2 linked regions of the Cricetulus griseus genome follow. The protein of the gene in region 1 interacts with the protein of each later gene in a pairwise test. Links are inferred from orthologs where the notes say so. Each region holds a gene or a part of one and is shown on either strand. Other genes may lie near its edges. The genes, in order: Lax1 and Grb7.

Evidence for each region.
Region 2: the proteins of Lax1 (region 1) and Grb7 interact in binary tests that used the Homo sapiens proteins (3 or more experiments, as listed by UniProt). The two-hybrid records come from large-scale screens. The link is inferred for Cricetulus griseus from reciprocal best matches to the Homo sapiens genes LAX1 and GRB7.

Annotation. Positions count from the first base shown.
Region 1 is NC_048598.1:55,498,503-55,508,398, forward strand, and holds the start of Lax1 (lymphocyte transmembrane adapter 1), read left to right. Parts: upstream 1-4,361; 5' UTR 4,362-4,909; intron 4,910-5,898; 5' UTR 5,899-6,047; coding exon 6,048-6,136; intron 6,137-9,896. UniProt on the Homo sapiens protein: Negatively regulates TCR (T-cell antigen receptor)-mediated signaling in T-cells and BCR (B-cell antigen receptor)-mediated signaling in B-cells.
Region 2 is NC_048600.1:111,569,709-111,579,519, reverse strand, and holds Grb7 (growth factor receptor-bound protein 7), read right to left. Parts: upstream 5,811-9,811; coding exon 5,659-5,810; intron 5,554-5,658; coding exon 5,403-5,553; intron 5,245-5,402; coding exon 5,088-5,244; intron 4,978-5,087; coding exon 4,856-4,977; intron 4,734-4,855; coding exon 4,656-4,733; intron 4,427-4,655; coding exon 4,277-4,426; intron 3,600-4,276; coding exon 3,489-3,599; intron 3,279-3,488; coding exon 3,180-3,278; intron 2,953-3,179; coding exon 2,872-2,952; intron 2,781-2,871; coding exon 2,664-2,780; intron 2,534-2,663; coding exon 2,473-2,533; intron 2,359-2,472; coding exon 2,271-2,358; intron 2,169-2,270; coding exon 2,075-2,168; intron 1,901-2,074; coding exon 1,754-1,900; 3' UTR 1,591-1,753; downstream 1-1,590. UniProt on the Homo sapiens protein: Adapter protein that interacts with the cytoplasmic domain of numerous receptor kinases and modulates down-stream signaling. Promotes activation of down-stream protein kinases, including STAT3, AKT1, MAPK1 and/or MAPK3. Promotes activation of HRAS.

The sequences.
Region 1 (9,896 bases):
GGCAGGGGCAGGCAGATCTCTGTGAGTTTGAGGCCAGCCTGGTCTACAGAGCAAGTTCTAGGACAGCCAAGGGTACACAAAGGAGCCCTGTCTTGAAAAAAAGAGAAAGGAAACAACTCTGCCTTACACCTCCCATCTTCTGGCTCTGCTCTCACTGACACATGCAGTATCTGGACCACAAGCAGGTGTTGTGTCTCACTCACCTCCCCTGAGACTTGCTACAACCATCTGATTCCTACTATGACTGCCATGGTTTCCTGTGCTGGGTGCCACCCTTTCCTGTCGGGGCCCAGGGGTCAGCAGTTGTCCATTTGTCCTCTTAGAGGCGGTTCTCTGGCCACTTGCAACTTGGGGAGGGGGCAAGGAAAATTGGGTTGTTCTTAGCAGTGCCTCCCTCCTCAGGGCACACCTCATCTGTGGCTCTCAGGCTGGGAGGTCTCTAGGGACACTGTAGAGGCTGCTAGATAGGAAATCCCAGAAGAATCAAGAAGGCAGAGGCCTTGTCTGTCCTTAGAACTTTCTTATCTGTGCGCAATACCAATCACCTCCCCCATCAGGGCCCTGAGTGTGCAGGGACCGCCCCCATCCTAGCCTTCTGAAAGTTCCGCAAACTGCTCCGAGGTGTTGGGTGGAGTGGAGGCGGGGAGCAGAGAAGGGAGGGAGCTGTACCAGTTTTCTCACACCTTTAGCTCAAAAGGAAGGTGTTTGCTGCCTTTGTTCTGTTTCAGACCTGTCTGTACTGGAAAGGCCTCAGGGATCAAACAACGAAGGGGGAAGGGACGCTTCCATAGACCTGTTCTTGTCATCAAAGATCTTCCCAGCCCCAAAACTTCCAAAAAAGGAAGTCTGGTTTGGGTTGTTTTTCATTCTTTCACACAAGCAATTTGGACCCCCCCCCACACACACACACACACACAGAAATATCAGAGCCACTGTTAACACCTTTGCAGAGCAAAGACCAGGCACAAGAGATTAGGCTTCCTTCCTGTGAGGACATCCCTTGGTAAGAGTGCCCAGCAGGAAGAATGAAAAGCCACCGAGCAGTCCCAGGATCTCACCCATCACACTGTGCATCACAAACTCAGTAGCAAGAAACACTAAAGAAAACCAGTGAGAGACCCAGTTAGCTCTGGGAGGCAACACTGTGCTCTTAAACAGAATTCCACTTTCTTGCCCCAGGGGCCTCAGAGGCCACTCAGAGAGACAGACACATATCAAAGGCAGGAAGGAGCCCCCACTACATGAGCAAGACCATGTCCTGCACAGAGCTGTGGAGGCAGACACAGAGGAATGCCCCAGATCCCTAGAGGGAAAGCTCACAGAGGTGGTAATTCTTGGGCCATATTTTCCTTTTATTTAAAACAAAGCAGAACAAAAAACATAGTTATCCTTTTTTTTTTTTTCTAAAAACAATATTTGATGGTTGTGACAATCTGAGCAGTGAGAGTTAAGAGAAGAAAGTCACAATTTCCCCAAGGCCTACAAACCAGAAAGGACCAACAGTACAGAGCTTCAGATAGGACTGTACTGTACTGGAATTTTACAAAATAAAAGAAAATGCCGATAAAATGAAGATACCTGGGCACCCATTGTACAAAGTGAGGTTGACTAGGGTCTGTGTGTAACACATGCACCCAAAAGGGAGTACCGTCCAGACCGGCCACCATGCCAAGGGAGGACCAAGAGTGCGTCCCCTAAGGAGTGATGCCGCAAAAATATGGGATGGGGGAATTGTGTTTTTTTTTTTTTTACATTAGAACCCAGTATGGCCTCAAACTTTCAATCCTACTGCTTCAGCCTCCCAAGAAGTGAGATTACAGGAATGACCCGAGTTTAAAGAGTAAAGTAACATTGAGCGTGGAGGGCAATGGGGGCAATTCATTAAATATAAGAGGTCGAGATCAATGTCACTATAATAGCAGAGCAGGCTCTGTTTAATGAGCTCCTGTGTGTGTCAAGTACTGAGCCAGACAGTTTTCATTAGTGGTCAAACTAATTTTCACAGCAATGTTGTGTAAGAACTTTTCCTGTTGCCAGTTACATCTAAGGAAATAGTATAGAAAGAGAAGATGAGCTGCCAGGACCCTCTGGGTGGTTAGAATCTGAACCCAGTTGATGTTTAATTAGAACTTGTGTCTTCCTGGAGGACTTCAGAAAAGATTCTGGCATTAAAGGCTTTAATGACATAGCACTCAACTCCCCAACTTCATCAAGAGTCTGCTCAAGCCGGGCAGTGGTGGTACATGAATGCCTTTAATTCCAGCACTTGGAGGCAGAGGTAGTTCAAGACCAACTTGGGCCACTTAGCATGACCCCACCAAAAAAAAAAAAAAAAAAAAGCAAAAATAAAACCAGTCCCAACAGTTTATGGTCATGTCACAGAGGGGTTTCAAGGAACACTAAAAGAATCCGGCTCAAAGCGTGCACCACCTCATTTCCCAGAAACAAGTAGTTTTCTCCCCCTATTCTGAGAAAGTATTCTTATCTTAATTTGTTTATTAGCCAGGTTAGACTTGTGGAAGGACAGGGAACAGGATAGTAGAGGGATGTGGGGCTAGCAGCCGGAGAAGAGAATCCCTCTGAGGTTGTTTCCCTCAGGCATGGTAGCAGCATGGGACACCAGGAGGGAATGCTGGTCTGGCTGCAGCAGTCTGGGTAAACAAAAGAGATGATTACACACAGAGGGAAACGCTTTTTTAGTTCAGGGTTCTGAGGTCGGCTCCCCCTGCCTTCCTGTGAGGCTCCAGTCAAGGTCCCAGCTCACACAGCATGTGCCATAGCTTACAATGACTCACAAGGGCAGCCTGACCACCAGTCTTCTAATGCAAGGGATCTAGTGAGGAATCCTAGTTTTCATTCAGACCTAAAAGAAATGTAGGCAGAGACTTAGGTTCCAGCTCTGGAGCCAACTGCCACCAAACCATCTGTTTCCAGATAAGCAGGCTCCCCAGAGGGAAGGTGGTGAGAGCCTGGCATGGTGGGGTTTCATGAAGACTACAGGACTAGTCTGCAGCATCCTAGAGCCCTGGGAGAGCCAGAACAGGCAGAGCTTGTCTGGGCTCTGGAAGCCAAGGACTCCAATGTCCACTGGAAAGAGGTCAGGGAGAGGCCTGGTGACAAAGGCACTGATGGTCATCCCTTTCATCTTCCTGCCGCCCCAACTGGTTTGGAAAGTGCAGTTGAGAGGCTCTCTGCATGCTCTATTCACTCTTCTGAACATACGTGGAGCAAAAAGGAAGGGGAGTTAGAAACAAACTCAGAGCATTCTCCTAAGATTGGAACCTTCAGGTCAGCGCTACGGAGGAACCACTGGCACCTGAAATCAGAGGCTACCCAGGATTGATATTGAACTACAGAAGAGGCAAGCCAGCAACAGATGCCCCCTTGCCAGCAGCCCCGAGTCCCAACAAAGAAACAGCCTCCAGAGGTCCTGCAACCCAGGCTCAGTTCCATTCCCACCATGACACCGGAACAGAGGTACACAAAGTGTGAAACACTGCTTCTGGTACTATCACCTACTGAGAATCTATTTATAAGGCCTGTCCACCCACGGAACCACAAGCAGGTGCCAGATCCGCACTTCTCTCTAAACAACTACTTCTAGTGCTATTTAGACCTGCTAAGAACCAGGCATGGTGGTACACTTTTTTAATCCCAGCACTTAGGAGGCAGAGGCTAGAGGATCTCTGTGAGTTTGAGGCCAACCTGGTCTACATAAGTGAAATACAGAATGGTCAGGGAATGGTCTCAAAGAAAAAGAAAGATAGAAGAGAAGAAAGGATGGATGGATGGGAGGAAAGGATGGAGGAAGGGAAGACGAGGGGAAGAAGGGGAAGGGAAGGAAAGGGAACGGAAGGGAAGGGAAAGGAAAGGAAGGGACAACAACAACAACAAAAGCCAGGTAGTAGTAGCACACACCTTTAATTCCAGCACTCAGGAGATAGAGTCCGATGAATCTCTGAGTTCAAGGCCAATCTGGTCTACTGAGTTCCAGGACAGCCAAGACTACACAGAAAAATCCTGTATCAAAAAAAAAAAAAAAAAGGAGAAGAAAAAGAAAAGAACCATTCTGAACCCTGAGCCTAGCCTACACCTGGAACCCCACCACCAGGGACATTAAGACAAGAGGGTACCATGGGTTTAGCCAGCTTGGGCTATGAAGTGAGATCTGCTTCAAAACCAAACAAAAACAGTCAGCAAGATGGTTCATTTGATCCAGGCACTTGCCTGTAACTCTGAAGACCTGAGTTTGATTTCCTGAGCCCCACGTGGTAGGCGAGAAGGACTCCCCCAAGTGTCCTCTGACCTCCACACATGTGCCATGGTATGTGTGCAGACACACTAAATAAGTGTACTAAGAATAAATAAGTAAAACTAAACAACAAAGTATTTTAAACCCCCGAATTTTGACCTGGAGGCTTATAACACTTTGAAAACCAGAGCGATCAATCCTGTCTCTGATTCCCTAACCCTCTTTAACCACGTGTGCCCCAGATGCCAGAGTGCCCGTGGGGAACAGCAGGGCTGAAGATGGGTTTCCTGCTGCCTGTGGAGAACTGAGCATTTCCTGTGCCCCGTGCCTCATTAGCACACTGGTGAAGGTGCTTCCTGTCAGTGACTCTTTCCATTCTGCCAGAGCAGTTTGCATTTTCACTCTGCTCTGGGGGGGTGGAAGAAAGAGTTTCTCACAGATCTGCTGGACCTCTGGGCATTTTTTTTCCCCTGTGTACCTCACGTTTCCACCAACAGGCAGAAACCAGAGAGCCAGCCCAGCCACTTCACACTGGGAACATCAACACCTGGATGAGAGACAGCTGGCTTTCTCCAGTGGGCATTGTGGTCACCCCCAGTGTACCAAACTCGATGCTTTGGAACCTTGTACCAACTCAGCCTGGAATTTCAGGTGAAGGTAGGGAGGTTTGGGTTTTATTATTATTGTTGTTGTTAGTATAGTAGTACATTTATTTATAGTGTGTGTGTGTGTGTGTGTGTGTGTGTGTGTGTGTGTGTGTGTGTGTTTGAGAGAGAGGGAGAGAGAGAGAGAGAGAGAGAGAGAGAGAGAGATCAGAGAACAATTTATGGGAACTGATTCTCTCCTTCCACCATGAAAGTGGTGATGGGGGCAAATTTGGGTCATCAGGCTGGCAGTAAGCACCACCTCTACCTGAAGAGCCATCACACCAGCCCAAAAAAGGGAGTCAGTTGGAGAAAGTTCTAGAACAGAAGATTAGAATCTTCAGAAAGATTAAAAAAAAAACCAAAACCTTTTTTTGTATATGAGACCTTTGGTGAGTACAATCTAGGAAGGATGGCTGGCAGGGGGTGTTCTGACAGTAGACTGCTTGCCTACGGTGTGCACAGTCCCAGAGTCCCAACCCTAGTGCTCATACAGAGTGTAGCATATGCCTGTAAGTCCCAGTACTAAGGAAGCAGAGGCAGCAGGATCAGAAATTCAAAGTCGTCTTCAGCTATATATCTTGGCTACATAAAGAGTTCTAGGCTACCCTGAGAGGTATGAAACCCTGCATGAACAGCTATATAGCAAGCCCCAGGTTAGTTTGAGATACATGCATCCCCATCTAAGTAAATGAATAAGAAATTTCAAGAGTAGCAGTTGGAGAGATGGCTCAGTGGTTAAGATCATTGACTGCTTTTCCAGAGGATCCAGGTTCAATTCCCAGCACTCACATGGCACCTCACAACTGACTGTAATTCCAGTTCCAGGTGATCTGTCACCCATAGTCAAAGTGCCAATGCATATAAAATAAAGACTTAAAAAAATTGAAAGAAAAAGAAATTTCAAGAGTAAAGAGAGATACATTTGGGAAAATATGGAGATTTGGAGAATTTTCTGTCATTCTTATATTATCTGCTTTTTTCCCTTTTTTTTAAACAAAGGTGGTTGTATGCAAAATACATACCAATTTGCCTTTTTTTCCTACGAATCAGCAACTTAGAAAGAGTCAAGAAAAGGGCAACAATACTGGCTAGTCAATATTGACACGGAGAAGACTTAAATGCTGCAGAGCCCCTGAGAGGTTCCAGGGATGTACACCACACCAGCCCCACCAGATGTCACAAGAAGGAGGAACTCAGGGCCCAGCACTTCGCAGGGGACTCTTGGCAGCCTGGAAGGGTGAGTGCTCTGGGGAAGTAAATGCCACTGTCCCTGGTAGTGCTGCCACACCTACAATCCAGGCCTGGGCCACCAGGACCAGCAAACTGTGAGCTGGGAGGGAAGGAAGGAGATGGAGGTGGAGGACTGACAGCTGAATTTCTGATTGGATTTCCTTCCTCTCAGAGGCCTTGACTTCAATCTTTCTAATCTCTTGTCCCACTATGATAAAAACAAGAGCCCTAGTTCCCCAGCAATGAGATTTTAGATCCTAAAACCTTGTCATGAGTTGTAAATGTAGAGATAGCAGTCATAAAGCTGCTGGGCAGTGGTGGCACACTTCTTTAATGCAAGCACTTGAGAGGCAGAGGTAGGTGTGAGTTCGAGGCCAGCCTGGTCTACAGAGCAAATTCCAGGACAAGTTCCAAAGCTACAGAAAAACCTTGTCTTGAAAAAAAAAAAGTCATAAGACATCAGATCTTACAGACTAATCATGGATGTAAATTCACCCCTGAAGTTCTCAATCTCAGATAAACAAAAGTCTATTGGGTGGTGAGACTTCAGAAATGCTAGTGGGCGTGAAACCTTTTCAATTATTGTAGTTTTAGGAAAATTTATTAGTATTACCAGAGAAAATCCTGCATGTCCCTTGCAGGTAAAAGATGCCTGCTAAAAAGACATGAGTTCGTATCATTGTTGAAGCCTGAAGCAACCTCCCAAAGCTATTTCCTTTTTTTTTCTTTTTTTTTTTTTAAATTTTTGTTGTGGGGGAGTAGAAGGGTGGAGAGGTCAGGGTGCAGGGATTGGGTCTTTCACCATGTGGGCCTCAGGGATCAAACTCAGAGTGGCAGGTTTGACAGTGGATACCTTTACCCACTGAGTCAGCTCACTAACTCTTAAAACTATTGCTTTTTTAAATCGATTTTTGTTTTGTTGTTATTTCCTTTTTCTTTTTAACTTTGTAACTACAAAGTAAAATTTGTATTTTTATACTGTATTTAAGCATGTTGTTTTGAAATATGTACACATTGTAGATGGCTAAGTTGAGCTAAGTAACACATGTATTAGTGACATACTTTTTATGAGAGGATACGTCAAATAACAATTTAAGCAATGTTCAAAAATACGTAATTTTCAACATTACCATGTTGAACTTCTTCCTTCCATCTAACCTTTGACCAACATCTCAGGGACCCCTCGAGCCACCCCTGATGACCACCATACTCCTGCTTTATGAGTTCAGTCTTTTTAGATTCCGCATCTAAATGAGATTATGCAGCATCTGTCTGCTCCTAGCTTTGTTCACTTAACACTATGTCCTCCAGGTCCATCCACCTTATCACATACGACATGAACGTCTTCCCTTTTTAAAGCTGAGTGGTACCCATTGTAAATGTACTCCACACTCTCTATCCATTCGTCTGATGGTAGATGCTCAGCTTGACTCCATATTTGGCTATTGTGAATTTTGCTACAATGAACATGGCAGTACAAACAGCTCTAATAAACAGGAGGGTGCAGGCAACACGGCTTTTATTTGTTTTGAACAGAGATCTAGCAGTGGGGTTGGCATAACATATGGTGGCTCTATTTTTAATTTTTGGGATAATTGCCATAAGTCATTTCCCACAGCGACTGCATTATCCTCAAAACTATTTCTGCGTTCATTCGTTATTTATTTCATTCACATATCATTGGACAAATATTCATTAAGATTCTACGTCAGAGGTGCTGTTTAAGATGCTGAGTGAATAGACAAGTCCATGGCTTCTTGAAGATTACAGTCAGTGGCAGTGTTTGATGGCAAACAGATAACCAAATAAATGTAGTATGACCAGGGAAGATCTCTCTAAGGAGATGACAACACTGTAAAAGAGACTTAAATGAAATGAGGAACTTGGCCATTCTGAGTACCTGGAGAAGGAGAGGTAGATCTGAGATAAAACTATTCTTCATATGGGCCAGAACAGCAAGAAATTATGGTGGTCCACATCAGAGCTGAAGGGGTTGGAAATGAGCCCCGAAGTTAATCAGGAGATGCCAGATCACATTATGAAGAAAAAATAATCTCACTGAGTATTACATTCATTGTCAGTATGATGTAAAGCCATGGAAGATTCTCAGTGGAGGAGAGACATGATATGACTTACTCTTTACAGTGATCATACTAGTTCACAGGTGAGCATGGTATGTTGAAGCCAAGAGTGAAAGCCAGGCGAGCCAATAAGGAGGTGACCACTGCAAAAGTCCCCCTGGAACTCATGTTGGCTTATGCCACTGTGGTGACAATGAAAGAAATAGAGGTGACTGGACTTGAAGCAGATGCCCTTGCCCAGGGCAAAGCTGATTAACTGGAAATAGGGCATGAAAGAACAGTCAGGCAGGAGTGGTGTCAAGCATTTAGACTGTAGTGCTATATGGTTGGAAGTCTAGAGGAAAAGCCAGTATATGGAGGCAGAATGGGAGCCCAGTTTTGGTTTGAGATCTCTATTGGACAACTTAAGAGAAACGGCCAATAGAAAATTGGGTCAATATACCCAGAACTCAGCAATACAAAAATCTTTCCAGATATGGCCCAGATTTAATATGTGGGGGTCAGCTCCTTGTTCCTGCTGGGTTTCCACTGCTTACTTCCTGCTAGAGTGGGTGTGGATGCCTGATGTTGCAATCCTTGGATGCATTTCAACACCGGAGCTGAGCCGTGGCTGCACCCTGCCTGAGAATTGAAAGACTGCTCAAAACTAGTGTTGGTTAAATTTCACCCAACAGGCTAGTGTTGCTTAGAGACCAGCCCACATCTGGGGGTTACTCAAGTTCATGTAAACTGGACTCTGTTACAGAGCCACTCCCTGATAGTGAGTTGAGTAATCCTCTCCCAGCAAAGCCAGGAAACCCGGGAGCAGGAATGACAGAAAAACCTGGCCAGATGCATTTGGCTTTGGAAGTTTGCAGATAGTGTAAGAGTAGAAAAAGAATGATCTCTGGACTTAAACCAACCTAGACTTTTTTTTTTTTTTTTTTTTTTTTTCCTTTTTTGGTTTTCCAAGACAGGGTTTCGCTGTGTAGCTTTGGAGTCTATCCTGGCACTTGCTCTGTAGACCAGTCTGGCCTCGAATTCACAGAGATCCACCTGCCTCTGCCTCGGCCTCTGCTGGGATTAAAGGCTTGCACAACCAGTGCCCAGCCAACCTAGACTCTTATTTCTGGCTCTGTGCCTTCTGCCCTATGAGATCTTGGCTGTGTTGCTTTTCCTTTCTGGTCTCAGGATCCTTTGGCACAGATGGCTTTGCGAAGATTAAATGATAAGTTTCATATGCAAGCCCCTAGCACCTGGTAAGCCTTCAAAGGAATGGCTCCCTTTCCCATGTGTAAAGCTCCTCTCTCCATGAAGTTGCTATTCAGAGCTGACTTTCCTTTCTTTTTTGTTATTTTTAATTATATATAGTTGTGTGTGTGCGTGCTCATGTGGGTCTGTATGCTCAGAGGCCAGAGGCATTGAATCTCCCAGAACTGGAGTTACAGAGGGTTGTGAGACACCAGTGTGTGCAGGGAACTGGACCCCAACCCCCTGAAAGAGCAGCCAACACTCCCAGCCACTGAGCAATTTCTCCAGACCCCAGATATGACTTGCTCTTGCTCTATTTCATTCCCTTCACCTCAACATCCTTTGTCCGGCTCCCATTCTAAATCCTTGTATTACAAGGGAGCTCTTCTTGAAGGAACAAATACAAGCAACAGACATACAATTTAAACTAAAGTTTATTTAGAAAAGGTAAGCAAA
Region 2 (9,811 bases), on another chromosome or scaffold:
GTTATTAAGTCCACAGAACCAGAGTCAAGTTTGACTTCTTCTGGCAAAATAATGTCTGCTTGGGATTCACAATTTAGGAGACGTCTCTGAGCAACTCAAGCAGGAGGTGCAGGTGTTGCCATTGGACTCACTTAGTATATACTGAGTGTGTCGGTGGATGCACTTATTATAAAGCTTCTATCGGGTTAGATGGCGTGAAACTCTTGGGGAAAATGTAGCCTGGCTGAGCAGAGGACAAGTTTGCACTTTGCAAAAGCTCATTCTGGAAGCGAAGGCTGAGAGGGTGATGGGCGTGGGGCTGCGGATTTATCCCCTTTCTGGGTGAGGGATAAGGACAGAAAGCAAACCTGGACCTGGAAAGAGAGAGGGGTTGGTGGAAGACACAGGGGCTTGTGGGGGGAAAGAGCTGGTGGAAGACACAGGGGCTTGTGGGGGAAAGAGCTGGTGGAAGACATAGGGGCATGTGGGGGAAAGAGCTGGTGGAAGACACAGGGGCTTGTGGGAAGTGAGACCATTCTCTCCGCTGTGGTGTTTGTTTGTCAGGGCTCACTGTCCACCAACTAGTCCAAGACTTCTTGTTGACTCATCTTGTTTTTGTTTGTGGGGAGAAGGGAAGTGGGCAAATGGGGTATCACATAGCCCAGGCTGGCCCAGAAATGTTCTTCCTACCTCTACTACCTAAGTGCTGAGATTCCAGGCACATACTACCGTATCTGGCTCATCTCTGATTCCCAGACTCTGTTACATCTAAGTGCTGTCAGAAAAGCCCACTCCCTTGGGGCTGAAGAGATGGCTCATTCATTAAAGGCAGGTAATGCTCTTGCGGAAGACCTGAGTCTGGTTCCCAGAATCCACAGCAGACAGCTCCTGGCTGCCTGTAGCTACAGCTCCAAGGGATCCAACTCCCCCTTCTGGCTTCCTTGAGCAATTGCACTCACATGTACACATACTCAACTCCTCACATAGATCTAATACATACTTTTTAAAAAGTCCTTTTTAAAAGAGAATGAGGCCGGGCGGTGGTGGCACACACCTTTAATCCTAGCACCCTGGAGGCAGAGACAGATGGATCTCTGTGAGTTTGAGGCCAGTCTGGTCTACAGAGCAAGTGCCAGAATAGGCTCCAAAGCTACACAGAGAAACCCTGTCTTGAAAAACAAAAATAAAAATAAAAAAGAATGAAAAAAAAAAGCACAGTCCCTTGTTACCCATTGTCCACTCATCCATTTAACTAGCACTCACTGACTGTGCCAGAGTCCTTGCTAGGATATGAAAGCTCCCAGGCCACTAACACCAATTTTGTGCTCAGGGCATATTCTGGTTGACCAACACCTTCACCTCTGAGGGTCCTCTTGTTGTCTCTTCTTGCCAGACAGAACTCATGGGTGTATCAAAAAATAATCTTTATTGTCACTAGTATAAAACAGAGCAGATCAACTGGCCTCTTTGTCTGTACAGGGTGTGGGGCACTAGACCACCGGGGCTGCGCTTTCTTCTTGCATAATGCCCCGAGCTGGAACAGTGCCTCAGGAGCTCCTGAGGAGAGGACCACAAATGCCTCCCTTGGGGACAGGACTCAGGGATGAACAGGGTCGGGGGATGTTTTGTTGCCTGAGGGAGGTAAAGACACAGGAGAAAAGTGGAATGGAGTATGGGGGGAGCTCCAGTAGTTCATCATGCCATCCACCTGCACCAAGTTCACTGAACAGAAGGGTGGTGGGCAGCCCCATGGGCTGTAACGGCTCCAGTGGCCTCAGAGGGCCACACGGGCACAGCAATGGCGCAGCACACAGGGCAGGATGCCTCGGTTCAGCTGGTGGAATTCCACCAGCTGCAGCAGGTCTGTGAAACGGGTCTGGCCGTCGTCCATGCTGAAGTAGAGACAACCCTCATCTTCGCTCTGTGGTGTGGCCAGAGGGCAGGTCAGGGAGCCGTCCCGAGCGGAGGAGCAGCCCTTGGGACCAGCAATTGACCCCCGTTTCTTGTACAGGGAAAAAGGAGGCGCATAGTAGGACTTCAAGTCGTGTTTCCCCGGGCTACGAGAACCCAAGTTATAAATAGGGGAGTTACTCACTGGTAGGATGAGGTAATGCTTGACTTTCTGCAGGTGACACAAGGACAGAACAAAGCCCTGTGGGTTGCGCTGACTCTCCCGGACCAGGAACACACTTTGAGGAGACAAAACCACGTTACCAGGGATTCCTGGTTGCACCTGCCCTAGGGTCTTGCTGGTCCCCAGGTCAGTTACCCCACCCAGCCCAGCCTCTTACCCATCCACCAGACCCTGTTGTCCAATTAGCCGCTGGCTCTCCTCCCGGGAAATGCGTCCGTGGAACCAGGGTTGGGTGCGGTGGATGGCTGGGGTCAGGAGAAAAGTGATGCTGGTCATTCAGGGAAAACATGCCTGACCCAAGCCAAGAAGGCTCAGAGTAGCACCATCGTCCACCCTAAGAACTCTAGACTGTCACCTACCTGCGCTGAGACTCGAGCCGGAGCATGGGGTGGGCAGGCTGAGACGGTGGTTTGTCTTCTTCTGCAGTGGGGGGCATGGGAGTCAGAGTGCCACTGGCACTCACCCTCTCCCCAACCCCTCTTCCTCCCTCCCACTCCATGAAAGCCCACTGGGAGCCAGTGCAGCAAACACGGATGCACGCAGGGCTTACCCTCCAGGCCTGGGCCTCCTCCATGGCGGCACTCAGAGCTTCCCGGGGGTTCTCTATGACACGCCCAGCATGGCCAGAGAAGTCCATGGCCACTAGGGTATTATCTGAAACACTCCTCTGCAAAAAGGACAGAAGGAGGAGGGAGGGGTCAGAATAGCTGCCCTGAGCCTGTATCCTCACCTCTCCTAATACCCCTGAGTATACTCACCAAGGGCGAAGACCCCAAATAGGACAGGCGCAGGTGACGAGACTGAGTCTGCTGATAGTTCTTATATAACTGCATCCCATACTTGAGGCAGGGGAAGAAAAGAGGTTTGAGGTCAAGAGAGCCTAGGAGATGGGCTGTGACACCCCTCAGGCCAGGACTTCTCCAGAGTAGGGCTGACCCTGCCCTTCCTGACTGGTATTCTCAGAAGCCCGGCTATGGTGACCTCTTACTGGGAAGACTTCCTGAAGGCAGAGCCATGTCACCTCCCTCAGGCAAGGCCAGCCCCCCTGCTGTTCCAGGGGTCTTACCTTGAAGAGACGGAAAGCAGTGAGCCAGCAGGTCCGGCTCTGCTCATCCTCACTGCAGAAGATGTGGAGGCCCTTGTGGCCATTTCGAAGCTTGTTGGGCTGGGAGAGAGGAAGTGGTCTGTCCCCTGTCTGATTCTGTGCCCAGTTGCCACGGGGCAAAGAAGGGCCCAAGGACTACCCAGATGTGCAGGTATAGCGGTAATTGGCTGGGTTTCTCAAGACGGGGTTCACAAGCCATAGGCAGGACACTAGAATTTGGACAGCTCTCACCGCCCCCCCACACACACCAGGCCTTGCTTGAGTCCTCACCTTGACACAGAAGCCGAAGTCCGTGGGCACCCCATAGAGCTTGCGGCCCTGGGTCACCACATAGGCATTAGACTCATTCACATCTGCCACATACTGTAGGTGCCTCGGGTCCTGGGCATGGTGAGAAAGTAGGGCTTGGTACAGGTAGGTCCTATCTCCACATTAGTGCCCCACCAGGTAAAGAGAGTTTAGGACCAGGGAGAGGCAGGGAAATACCCATGTTCACACAGCAGATAGAGGCTGAGGAGAGGGCTCAGTTGGTAAAAGGCTTGCTGTGCAAGCAGGAGGACCCAAGTTTAATCCCCAGCACCCACTTAAAGAGCTGGATGTAATGCTATACACTTCTAATCCCCGTGTGGGGTTGCCACTCAGCCTGACCTAATCTGCAAGTCCTAGGTCCTAGTAGGGACCCTGTCTTCAAAAACAAGGTCCTGAAGACCTGAGACCAATGGTGATGGCTAACAATGTCTCTCTCTCCCTCCCTCCCTCCCTTCCTCCCTCTCCCTCTCCCTCTCCCTCTCCCTCTCTCTCTCTCTCTCTCTCTCACACACACACACACACACACACACACACACACACACACACAGGCGCCTATGTTTTCTACTGCCATTCCTAGGGTAGGTGAGCCAAACAGGGGTTGGGATGGATAGATTCTGGCATGGCCTGAAGACAGCCAGCCCAAGGGGAAGGAAGAGCAGCTGAGGATCCCCGGGCCCAAGATGGAAGGGTCAAGAAGCACTAGTGAGGAAGAAGTACATGACAGGCGAGAGCTGACCTCAAGACCTCACCTTGGACGTGCCCTTGGTGGAGTAGTAGAGGCCGGACCGGCGCAGAAAGCAGAAGAACCGTTTCCAAAGCTTTCGGCCTGAGCCCCGGCCAGAGCCCCGAAGCTGCAGAAAGCCCTGGATCTCGGGGAAGCTGCCGGCATTCAGGAAGTTCTGGGGACAGATGTGAACAGGGGTGAAGGGCTTGCCTCCTCTCAAACCTCCGCAGGAGGTGCTGCACCAGCACTGACTGCCACCATTTCACCAGCAAAGGTCACCATGGTGGCGGCAGACACCAACAAACACAGATCAGATCACACATGGCAGCAGAGGGTAGAAACACTGGATGACTTGGGGTAAGGGGGTAGGGAGAATTGTGGATCTATGGTGAGGCAGACCTCACCTGGATGAGGTCTTCATGAGATGTGCCTGTTTGTGCATCCAGACAGCTGGAGACCATCTTTTCTGGGAACAGTGTATGCTAGGGAAGAAAGAAATAGTTAGGAATCAACGCTCAAGAATCCAGGCTAGGGATCTAGAGTGTGTGTGTGTGTGTGTGTGTGTGTGTGTGTGTGTGTGTGTGTACACCCAGTTCCCACTCACCGGGGGGCTCTTGAACAGTTCATACTTGGCAAAGTTTTTGCGGAAGACAAAGCGACTATCTCCACCAACAGGCCAGGCCTCCTGCACTTCCACCACAAACTCATGGTCCTCCACACCCCGCTCTGAGATCAAGGGTGAAAAGCAGGGGTTGGTAGAAATTAACCAAGCCTCACAGATGAGCCACCTATCTTGCCCAAGACATCGCCCCACAGCTCCTTGTACCCCGACTCACCCAGTGCTAAATAGGGATGGCATTCCACCAGGCCCCAGCTCTCATCACCCAGGGCATGGGCTCGCTGTACCAGCATTTCACACACATGTCGAGCTGTGGCACCCGCTGCCACCTCCACAGACCGGCAGGTCCCATCCTCACTGTACACCTTCACCACCTGTACCCCAGGAACTGCAGGTTACTTGGGGCAAGGCAGGGGCGGGGGACTCTACTCTCTGACTTATGTTCAGGGACCTGCACCAAAGAGGCGACACCACATCTGCCCGGGGCTGGGGCAGCACTGTCCCCACTGTTCCCTTTCCCAAAACAACTCACATGGAGGCGACTGGAATCTCGAGAAAGCAACCCCCTTGCACTGGAGGAACCTCCAAGAATGGGTTTCTGTGAAGGCGGGCTGCAGAGCTCAGGGAACGGGTTGGGGATGGAGGGTAGCGAGGTCACCTGAAGCTCCTCTTCTCGAAGTTTCCTATGTCAGAGTTGAGGGATGGAAGCCACTATGTGTTAGTCAGTGCTGGCTCGCCTCCCTGTCCCCAGACCTCCCTACCCATGCAGCCCCACTGTCCGATCCTACCTGCTGCTTGGAATGGGCAGAGGCTGTGACCGCTTCACATCCCCAGCTGGAGGGTTATCAGGGGGTGGAGGAGTCTCAGGAGGGGTCCCAGGAGCTGGGCACGCATCTTCTGGGGAGCTGCTGAGATGAGGTGGGCTCAGATCCAGTTCCATGGTACCTGTGAAGACAATGTTGATGCCATGTGCTATCGCTGATCCCTTCAAACTGCAGTTTCCTCGGAGCCCTCAGAGGGGATACAGGGCACGCCCACTTCATAGAAAGGAACACTGGGGTCCTGAGAAGGAAGTACGCATGTGCCCAGTGGCATTCAGTCTGGTGCTTGGGACTCCAATGCCAGTGCTCTCCCTGCAGCAACACCAGCTCAGGGGAAAGAAGAGGTAGGCTCCATGCCACATGTCCCTAGCTGGAGCCACAGGGTCAGGGCAAAGGCTGTTCATGCCACTGGGCTCTGCCCCAGATTTTTCCAGCACTTTATTGTTCTAGCACCTGTTGCCAGATGCAGTTTGCCAGGCCTGTTGTGGTAACACCTGGCAGAGAGATGAGTGATAGAGAGAGGCGATTAGGAAGGACAGGATCAGGAGGGCAGGACCATGTGCTCAGGTTGTGGTGGAAACAGGAGGCCTGGGGGGCTCTTACCCCAGCACCCACAAACTCGGTGGGCCTTCCCAGACTCCTCATCCCACCCAATTTTTACCCAAAGCCACAATGATAAAGCCACCTCCTATGGATGAGAAGTTCTCTTGGACTTGTCACACTCAGCCTGGTGCTGGGAACTCTACCCCCACTACTGTGCACCTGTCTTAACCCATCTCTGGTCTGAAAGCACCTGGCACACATTAGAGTCTCACCTATGCCTTAGCACCCACGGGTGCAGAGAAGTTAGGACAAGTAAGGACAGACGAGACCAGGCAAGGGGTTGGGGGTGGGGCAGGTTCCAGCCTTTCTCTGCAGGAACCAGCAGACCCCATGGTGCTGAACCTGGCAGAACCCAGACAAAATGCCAATCCCAGTATCCTGCCTGTTCTCCAGACCCTGCATCAGGACTGTGAGGCTGCCCAGGACACCTGGGAAGGTTCCTGGCACCAGGATAGGACAAACTCTTGACCCTTCTGTGAGGGCATGAAGGGATCTGGGGGACAGGTGAGTCAGGGCGGGGCGGGACAGCTATGCCCCAGGCTCCCCATTCAACTTTGACTCATCTATAGGACTTCCTGGCTGAGGAGGAACACAAACAACCTGCCTCTGCCCTCAGTCCCTGACTCCCCAACCTACAGGTAGCCTGGGAGCAAGGGGTGCAGGCTGGGGAAAGATGAAAATGGGAGGAGCAGCCCGAGGCTCCTCTGACATCATCCTCCCCACCCTTGGCCAGTGTCCAGCCCAGGTGGGACTAATCATCTGCCCACCTTAGTCCCAAACCATCACCCTGCCTATAACCCAGGGAGGTAGGAGGAAATGCCCGGCCTGGATCCAGGAGCCTATCAGGATTGGAGCCGACCTCCTGGTGATGTGCAGGCAGCATCCAGTCCTGCCTAGCCTAGGTCTGGAACCTGCAACTCTCTTCGCTGTTAATTATCCTAGGATGTATGCTGATGCATCTGGCCTTGGGGACTCCTGTGTATTGCTCCGTGGAAGAGGGTCTCTGAACACACTCTGGGATGTCCTGACCTGAGAGGTACCATCAGGCAGGAGTGGAGTCAAAACACCCAAGAGGACAGGCAAACAGACTGACAACATAACTCCAGGAGAGCCAAGCAGAGCAAGCAAGACACTCGTGACACTTAGCATGCCCAAGTCACCAAGCAAGGGGCATCAACACCTGGCACCCACTCCCACACACCTGATCTTTCATTTCAGGAATGGGGGTCCTCCTCTGCCGGGGTGCCCCTCCCTCAAAGTGAGAAAACAACACCCGGCTGGACAGGTGTTTGAAATGGGGGGGGGTGTGGATTCAAGTCAGATTACAGTCTGATGTCAGAGGCCCAGGTGCCGGCTGCACTAGGGTTAGCTTCCAGAGCCCTCCACCCCACCCTTCATCTGGAGAAGACTAGCAGCTGTCGGTACCTAAAAGATAAGGTGGGGCATAGGAGCCTGCTCTGGGCCCCGCAGCCCCTGCCCAAGAGAGCTGAAACAGTCAAACTAGGCCTAAGCAAATCTTCCCGTGTAGAAACTGGGCCCCCAACCAACTAGTCCTCTCAGCCAGGCCACTCCAACTCTGGCTATCCAGCCCCAGCAGCTCCCGCCCCACCCTCTCTCCTACCCTTCCAGCCGCCTTGTTTACTTCCTGAATCTTGCCCCACCTAGCAAACCCCAAGGCGAGTAGCAAGGCCTAAATGTTTGGGGCCAACAGCAAACAGGGCCACCATCCACTCTTCTCAGGTTTAGGGGGAAGGGTTGGGGAGCCAGTGGCCCGGGCAGTCCGCTTCTGATCTAGTACACCAATCCAACCCCCATCACGACTTGGGGAGGAAAGTGGGGGGCTTAACCTTTAGGGGTGCCTGGACCAGATGAGGAGGCAGGAAACCCTTAGTTGACCCGAAGTTGATGCTCCGCCCACTCCGCTCAGGAAAAAAACACCCAATGGAATAGAGGGGGCGGGACAATTCTTGTAATGTTTAATTTGGGAAGAATGCTAGAATTTCCAGTAGAGTTCCCTGCAGAGTTAATCATTATTTTACTTTTGGGGAGGTGTACAACACACACACACACACACACACACACGAGGGAGAGCAGAGTCCAAGCTAGCACAGACTCACAACCCAGAAGGCATCGCATTCCTGGGGGGCAAGGGCAAAAAAGGCTGAAAAGATCACCATCTGGCCCTCAGGTGCACACTGTCCCATCCTGCCATGAAGACCCAGACCCGGACCTAGGTCTTTCCCCAGCTTCAGCCTCAAGACAGGCTTACATGAGCCGCCACGCACTCTCTTCCTGCCCCTGCACAGCAGACCCTTCTCTCAGCGCCCGCACCTCCGGTTTTCTTTGTCCATTTGCTGGTGCATCCAGGAGGCCGGGCTTCCACATCCGAGGGGGACAACGAACGACGTGGAGATACGGAGTCCCAGCCATGGTGGAACTTTACTCCCCTCCAGATGGGAACTTTACTCCCCTCCAATGGGATTGTAGTAAACTGAGCTCAGCAAGGCAGTGAAGAGCCACCTCGGGACCCCCGCCACCCTAACTAGCTGGTCTTGAGTAGAAAGAACTATTTTAGCTGGAAAGTCCAGGTTTCCGGAGGTGACTGAGAGACCCTACCTCCCATTCACGAATTCACTGGGAGAGAAGGGGGGAGTGTGAGGGGCACAAAATGAAAAACACGGGAGGTCTGGGGGAGCAAGGTGAGCAAGGGGAAGGATTCGAGATGCCGAGCAACAAACAAACAAAACAATGCAATGAAGACGCCAGAGAGCATCGGGAGGATGAATCTTTCCTTAGGCATCCATCTCATCCCCAAGATGAAGTTCCCGCTTCGTTCCTTACCCAGACCTTGGACGGCACAGCTGCCCGAGGCCACCGGTTTACGGAGAAAGACTCCAGGCCTTAACTACCACCCCCCCCCCCCCACCCCCCACGCCGCCTGTGGCCTGACCTCAGCGAGCGAGGACGTACGGGGGGGGGGGCGGCGAAGGCTGGCAGCCTCCAGGCCATCTACCTGGGCAGAGGGCCACATCCGCCCGAGGCAGGCACAACCTGAAGCCCTGGTGAAGCTGGGGGGAGGGGGGAGAAGCAGATTGTCTTGAGACAGATGTCGGTCGCCTTACCTGGAGGAACTCCAGCAGAAGGAGCGGGACACCGGGCCCAAAGTCAGGTTCTATCTAGGGATCCCAAGCACTTGGATTTGATTTCAAGCCCACTCTCTATGCTCTACAGGGGGTAGGAGGGTATCACGCCTTTGGATGTTGAGGCGGGAGAATGTGGAGAGAGCCCTGTGTATCCAGAGTCCAGGCTGAGAGAAACTAAAATTATCTTGGGCAGGTGAGGGCGGGGCCTGAGAGGCGCCCTGGAGAAGGAAGCGCTGGAGGAGGGGTGGAGACTCCTCACAATGCACCGCCTGGGATTGCTCTTGCCCTTCCTACCGGGCAGCAGGTGCCAGGGAGAGAGCAGGTGCCTGGGGAGAGGCAGGGAAGAGTCAAAAAGAACACGCTGGAAAGAGAGA